Nothobranchius furzeri: one gene and its partner. The protein of the gene in region 2 interacts with the protein of the main gene of each other region in a pairwise test. Links are inferred from orthologs where the notes say so. Each region holds a gene or a part of one and is shown on either strand. Other genes may lie near its edges.

Region 1 (4,094 bases), on a different chromosome or scaffold from region 2:
ACCCACTGCTGACAGCAAATTCACACCTTCCATTAGAGCAAGCCTCTGATTGGTGGGTAGAATCAGCCCACATGGGCTTAAGACAAGGATGTGTGGAATCAACCGGGCCAGGCTGGGGCCGACTGGGGCTACCCGGCCTGGGCCGACCCGGTACAGATGGGAATGGCCCAAAAAAGACTGTGTCCAGGGTGACACGGGTCAGCTGTGATCCAACCTGTATGCCTCAATGTCCTGAAGGAGTACAGGTCCTGTATAGAGAGGAGTTTGCAGCCAATGACCTTCTCAGCAGAGAGTACAACACACTGCAGTCTCTTCATATCCCTGATGGTGGCTCCAGCACACCAGTAAGTTAGTAAGTTTTCTGAAAGTCAGCAAAATTTGAAGTACTCCCAGCACTAATCTTTCTACAAATTAACATGTTTAGGTGTCCAAATTTAGTTTAAAAGATATTCCACCAAACCCATATAAGCTAAATTATCAGCAAAAAAATCTCTAAAGGAAACTGCAGTTTTTCTATTTACATCTGGTCTGCAAACAGCTGTGGCTAAACAAGAAACAGTGCATTACAAGGATAAGGGCAGTAACGCACTCTAACTGCTCGGGTGAAGAAATCTTAAACCTACTCAAAATCACAGAGATTTATATTTATTTACTTACTGTGCAAAGCTACATTGCATGCATTCAGCAAAAAGTTGGATGATGAAGGGGTAATATCCAACAGTTTTTAGTGTTTCAGCATCTAAGTTTTGATTTGCTCAGATTTTTTAAACTCGAAAAGGTTGAGGAGTTAAAACTGTGAAATAAAACATCTGCTGTGTTCTAAATAAAAGTTTTAAAAGCTGTTTCACAAATTCAAGTTTGGTTTTATTCCAGAAAACTTCCATACTTATGGGGTGTGTGCAAATCTTTTCTGCATCCTTGTAGAAAAACATCATTTACAGACACTGCTGTCTGCCGTTTCCTACACAAGAGACAACCTGGACAGCGTTAGCTTCAGTCTGTAAGTGTTGATAGGACAGCGAGGTACTGACCCACAGGCGTGCAGCGGTTCAGGTCCCTGAGGTTGTACAGTTTATCCGCCAGTTTCACCAGCTTGGCTTGTGGGCTGCAGTGAGGTGCGTGCTCCACCTGCAGACGCTTCCTCTCCTGCTTCGGTAGACTTTTGTCATCAGTCACTTCTCGGACAATGCCAGCCACGGCCTCCCCGAATTTTGCTTCAAGTTCTTCAAGGGTGGTGTCGGTGTCCTCCACTGTGTCATGAAGCAAAGCAGCCTGCAGAGACAGACAGCACAAAAAGCTCAGCGTGTCAGGAGACTGATCCCGAGTGTGTAACAGTCACCACACACCTGTAAAACCTTGATGTCTGTGACTCCTCCTTCGTGGCTGAGGATTCTCGCTACTCCTTAAATGACAAAGACATCAGAAAGAACTAATAAACACCGCTGATCCACAAAGCTGGGATTTCATTTAATAATAATTGCCAATGACATGGACTACTGGACAAAAAGTAGTACCCAACAAAATAAGTCACACATGATATGGATTGATTTATGCCCAGTAGCATTAATGTTTTGTAACGATCTTGTATCGATGAGTCAGACCACAACACAAAACCTTCATCAGCACATCCCAAAGATTCTCAAAGGGGTAAAAGTCCGGTGACTGATCCATGTGCTAGGATAATGCCTCGGGCTCCCTGATCCACTCTTCTACTACTTAGGATGAAATAATCCTGCATAGTCATCTTAGAATATTATTATAGTATAGTATTATAGTATTAACTGAACACTCTAAAATTTAGAGTGTAAATTATCCCTAAGTGTGTGAGTGTGTGACTGGTGGTTAGTTAGTCGACTAGTAAGGGTTAGGAGTTTGCCTTGTAATCGGTGGGTTGCAGGTCTGAACCATCAGGCTCCATTTGGTTCAGTCACTGTGTCCTTGGGCAACACATTTTACCCTCCTCGCCTGCTGGTGGTGGACGGAGGGACCGGTGGCGCCTGTAATCGGAGGGCCTCGCCTCTGTCAGTACGCCCCAGGGCAGCTGTGGCTACATTGCAGCTCATCCCCCACCATGGTGTGTGTGAATGGGTGAATGACTGATTGTGTTGTGAAGTGCCTTGGGGGGTTGTTGAATCCTAAGAATGCACTATACAAATACAGACCACTTACCATCTCCAGAGCAGCCATGGCTACATGTATCACCATCAGCGTGAATGACTGGACTGTAATGTGCTTTGAAGACCCTGACTAATAAATGCTACACAAACGTGCATTATTTTTATGATTTGTCTGTGTTTCCCTGTGATGGACGGGAGACCTGTCCAATGTGTCGTCCTCTCACTCATGAGTGCTGGAATTAGACACCAGGTGCCTCATTTATAACATTTGGTGTAGAACCCTTACTAAAACCAGCAGCGACTGGTTTAAAAAAACTTAGTGGGGCTATATGTGGAATATTTCCCCTCTTAGTTCGTAATAATGTAATGAAATGAAATCTACAATTCACACACACACACACACACACACACACACACACACACACACACACACACACACACACACACACACACACACACACACACACACACACACACAGAGCTTTCTCCTTACCGATGGGATGGTTAATGTAGGGGGTTGAGTTTGTATCTTTGCGTCTCTGATCGCGATGTTTAAACGCAGCAAAATCAGCAGCCTCCAACAACAAAGCTGCGTCTGAATCCATGTTCAGTTCTGTTTGATCAAATTAAGGGAGGTTGCATAAACGTGTTTGGGAAGCAAGCACGGCGGTGTTTCAGATCGGTGTTACGTCATTTCCGTGTTTTACAATCTGCTCCGCCCACTAAAATTTATTTTACTTTTGGGTCTTTGAAAACCAAAACTTGAAAATAGCTAATAATAACAATAATAATCTTATCTGTACAATGTTTTTTCTACTTCTGTGAATTTGACTAAGAGTCCGGAATGAAGAATACTTGATTTAAGGGAGTTTTTTTTTTCCATTCCGGATTGCTATGATGACTCCTCCTGTTGATGAAACGATACCAAAACAGTTAATTATTTTGTGGGAGTTAAGCTAATTCCTCAGAATACTAAGATGCAGTTGAAGAATATTAACTTGTTTAGGCTGGATTTGTTGATGGTTTGGGTTTAAAAAGCATCGACATATAAATTGAAGTTTGAAGTCAGTGATAAGGGCGTGTTGCTTCACTCTATTGTGTCCGGTGGGAAACAGTTGATCGCACGAACTATTATGCTACGGAAGCAGGTAGGCTTCGACAGAAAAACATAATATTAATCTGTTTACTCAGAAAAATGCAGCTTTAGTCAAATTAATATGATGTAATAGTTTGTGCAGAATTATTTCATACAAACGTCAGCATTTTGCTGTTCGTTTACAATGTGCAGGCAAAGATGATTTGTGTGTTTTTAGCCTACAAGCTAACTCTGGTAGTGGAGAGAACGGAACACTCATCGTCACGCTTTATGGTTTTTTTAAATTTGGGGACGTATCTTTGTTGCATTATAACTGTATTTATTTCTGTGCCACCAGTGACTGAATGACGTGTCCTGTTGTGGTTGAGAATGGCTCACAGTGCAAGGAGAGACTCCCCGGAGTTCCCAGACTTCTCTCTGCTAAAGAGATTGGTCAGAGATCAGCTCATCTACCTATTGGAACAGGTAGGAAAACACGCGCATATACCTGTACCTAGCTTAGATCAGCTGTTTGCCACAAAGCATCAGGTTTAGACAAACGCTAGACAAGAAAAACACCAGAAACCTTTTTCACAAGCACTCCAGTCTGTTATTATAGTGGAAAAATCAGTACAACTGTGTAATGACTGATTTATAGGGCTGACGTAACAGCTGTCACAGTCATTGAAGGTGGTACACCTCTGACCACATCCCAACAATAGCGTCAGAGAATTTTGTGATCTTACCATCAAGTTATGTGCAATTCTGGTATTATAAATAATTGAATCAGGCGATGAACTTTCTGTTGACAAGTTTTTCTAGTTTTGTGTAGAACAGATTGTTGTTATGGCATGTGTCTTATTTCATCACACAGCTGCCAGGGAAGAAAGACCTTTTTATTG
Region 2 (3,514 bases):
CTTCCACCTCCTGATCCAGCCTCAGGAGGTCAGACTCAAGCTGGTTCTCGGGCCCTGGTGCTCTGCTTCTCTGAAGACTGAAATCACTGTTGAACCTTGAGATCTCTTGACGAAACATTTCCTCCTCTTCTTTAGACGTTTTCCTTATCTTATCCTGGTGTAAAAAGAGGAAAACTGTTCTGTAGTTTTCCACATATAAATACTACCAGTAACTTATGGTAATATCACTGTAGAGCTAGAAGAGCTAAATCTATTCTCCAAAGACCATTAGAATTCTTTTGATGGCGCACGCCACTGTAGAGTTAGAGAAATGCAAATCAACGCTGACTTTGGGTGGTACAATAATTTTTATTAGGAAAAAGTCCAGTTGGCCTGCCATGGTAAAACTATCCTGGGAAATCTTTGCATCTTTGGGGGGGGGGGGGGGGGGGGGGGGGGGGGGGGCAAGAATCTGGCAATACGATATTGACCACGATACATGGAAGGCAATACGATACATCATGATTCTAAAAGCCGGACAGTACTTGCAATGTTAAAACGGGCTTTAAGTAGAAAACTCGGACCAGATGCTTTAAAGACACAAAGGCCCTGTCCCAATACTCATGCATCCAGCCTTGCACCCCTCAACTGCGAGTTATGTCCAGGGATGCGAGTCCTTGATCCATACTTCATTGAAGCCTGCATCAGTGCAGACTTCAGCGTGGGAATTTTGAGAAGATGATGGAGAAATGGCTCAAATGCCCTTTCCAAAAATATGAATCTTCTATTATAATTATCTAAATCAGTGGTTCCCAAACTTATTTAGATGCACATCCCCTTCTATGTCCCGACCATGTTGACACACCCCCCAGCCCCACATCAGGGCATGGCTATATATATATATATATATATATATATATATATATATATATATATCAGACGTCATGCTAAACCAGGGGTCGGCAACCTGTTCCCATCAAAGAGACATTATTACCCATTTCCCACAGTAAAGATACAAGCACAGAGAGCCGCATCAGATGGATGGAAGAGCCGCATGCAGCTCCAGAGCCGCGGGTTGCCGACCCCTGAGCTAGGGCATGTGCGGAGGACACACACACACACACACACACACACACACACAAGCAAAATATACTTGTTTTCAATTACATTTATTGGGCCCACTTACTTTTTCTTAGGCCCACCCACAAATGAGTTTCTGGCTACGCTAATGGTGACTTTTGACAGACTTCTCTGAGCTCCGCAGCCATTACACTTTTCACCTCGCGCAGCCCCTAGCGGCAGCTCGCGCGCACCACACTTTGGGAATCCCTGATCTAAATAACAAATATAACATTATAAGGTTTCTCTGTTGGAAAGAAACATCACATGTCTGTAACAATATTTTTAACAGTGCAGCTGTGTGTTTTCATACATGGTATGCCTGTAATTGAATCACTTGTTGTCATTCAGTTCATGTCAAGCAGCAAAACACACACAAAAAAAAAACACCGGCTTCCCCGGTTACGAAGACACAATGCTCACTGTTCCAGTTCTGTACTTATTCACTACGCACTCAGAGTGTTATGTGCACTTCCACCAAGTATACGTCACAGAGGACCGTTGCGGTGGCTGCAGTGTAGGTATTGGGACCATAGACATGAATACATAGATGCCCCTTTGGGTGCTGGAAAGCATAAAAGAGTGTTAGGGTTAGGGTGTCCTCCCGCCCCAAAAGCAGTGCAGAGTGGGAATCTATGCCCGTGTATTTGCAGCCTGTGATTGCAACAACCAGCTTACTATTGAAAACAGATCGCATGGGCTTATTATTGACCTTTCTAGCCTAGCAGAAGGGATTTTATATTTTAATGAATTTTGGTTAATTATATTTGTATTTTAATTATCATGCCATACCATGTGTCTGATTAGTTGGGTAGGCACCTTCCTCAGTAGAAATACATGCACTGGGGGTGAATAGAAACTCATCAAAGATGGCGGCCGGCAACTGTGGCTGCTCCAATCGGCAGTGAGTCCACGGGGCATATATGATATCTGTGATTGGGACTGGGCCATCCAATCTTGGCGCAAGAGCTCACTGTTCCCTCAGAACAAAGGCAGCAAAACCTGCTGCCACCTAGCAGTTGGAGTTTGAACTGCACCACACAAAAGAACTATTAGGGCTGCACGATATTAGGAAAGCCTGCAATATGCGATAACAGTGATTAATATTGCGATAACGATATTACTTGCGATAAATAAAAACTACTCAGGAACAAAAATAATCAAAAACAAAGACATTTTTAAAATGGCAACAAAAAAATCATAAGACTAAGAACAGCAAAAGATGTGAGGAAAGGGAAAAAGAAAATGAACAAGAAAAGGCAATCAGTGGATCCCGGGTAAAGCAGAATCAGCAGAAAGAGAAGAACAAAGCTAACTAAGGTGTTTGCTAACCATCAAAATTAAGTACTGTCTGCCTCGGGGCCGGGCATCTAACCTATGAGGACCCACCCAATTGGCCAAAAGGATGAAGAGCTCTATTTGATTTGTTAAAAAAACATTATACTTCAGTTTGACAGAATGCATTATGTGTATCAACCATTTGAGCTGACCATTTAATGCAATATTTATCTGTTCAATGCACTATGCATATTGCAAATGCTAATATCGTGATAACGATATATTTGCGATATACTGTGCAGCCCTAACTACTATGTATGTTAGCATGTAAATATCCAACAAAAAAAATCAATACGCTGGTTTTAAATATCAATTTAGTATCATGACATGAAATTAGTGCTGTCACTATTAGTCGATTTGCCACGATGACGTCGACAAACAAAATAGTCACCAACAAATTCAATAGTCAACATAATTTACTACAAGTGTTGTTTAATTTTTAATCTGCCTGCTGCGGCACCACTACTGCTTTCTACCGCTCTGCTTCGGGCACACGTGCAGTAGTGACCATCCAGGCGAGCCGAAAACGCAGCTCAAATGTTTGGAAGAATTTTACAAAGACAAAAGAGAAGCACGTAGAGTGCAAAAGCTGCGAAGTAGAACTCTCCTTTCACGGGAGTGTAACAGTGATGCATTAACACGTTAAAAGGAAGCCCGTCGTGGCGGAGAATGAAGCGGGGCGGTCGCCTCTGTAAGCTAATTACATCTCGTTAGCTGGGAGGTACTTGTGTTTATGGCAGTAGCAACAATAGTAGTGATTGCAATTTCATTACCTTTAGCACACCTGGGTCACGTATTTGCTCTGAGGTGACAAACACTAATGGTTTATTGCATCCTGCTACAATGTTAAAAACCCGCTCCTCTTCAGTGGATGAGTTTGTTACAAACCAAACCTTCTGACCGAGGCCATTTTGAATATGTTGGTGACAGATTGAGACCCACGTAACAGATCACACTTCAAACTAGAAGCTAATGATGGGTATGCTAGAGCAGCTGTGTCCTGCTGCATTAAGCTATACTTATGCATGACACGATTAGTCGGCTAATCGCCCAAATAACTGAAGATTTGTTGACTATT

Evidence for each region. The genes of interacting proteins can lie anywhere in the genome.
Region 1: the proteins of ccdc172 (region 2) and hddc3 interact in binary tests that used the Homo sapiens proteins (3 or more experiments, as listed by UniProt). The two-hybrid records come from large-scale screens. The link is inferred for Nothobranchius furzeri from reciprocal best matches to the Homo sapiens genes CCDC172 and HDDC3.

What each region holds. Positions count from the first base shown.
Region 1 is NC_091749.1:30,000,062-30,004,155, reverse strand, and holds the start of hddc3 (guanosine-3',5'-bis(diphosphate) 3'-pyrophosphohydrolase MESH1), read right to left. Parts: upstream 2,801-4,094; 5' UTR 2,723-2,800; coding exon 2,611-2,722; intron 1,403-2,610; coding exon 1,347-1,402; intron 1,273-1,346; coding exon 1,032-1,272; intron 1-1,031. Other genes in the region: vps33b (vacuolar protein sorting-associated protein 33B), read left to right, coding at 3,583-3,678, 4,067-4,094. UniProt on the Homo sapiens protein: ppGpp hydrolyzing enzyme involved in starvation response.
Region 2 is NC_091752.1:42,775,356-42,778,869, forward strand, and holds part of ccdc172 (coiled-coil domain-containing protein 172), read right to left. Parts: intron 155-3,514; coding exon 1-154.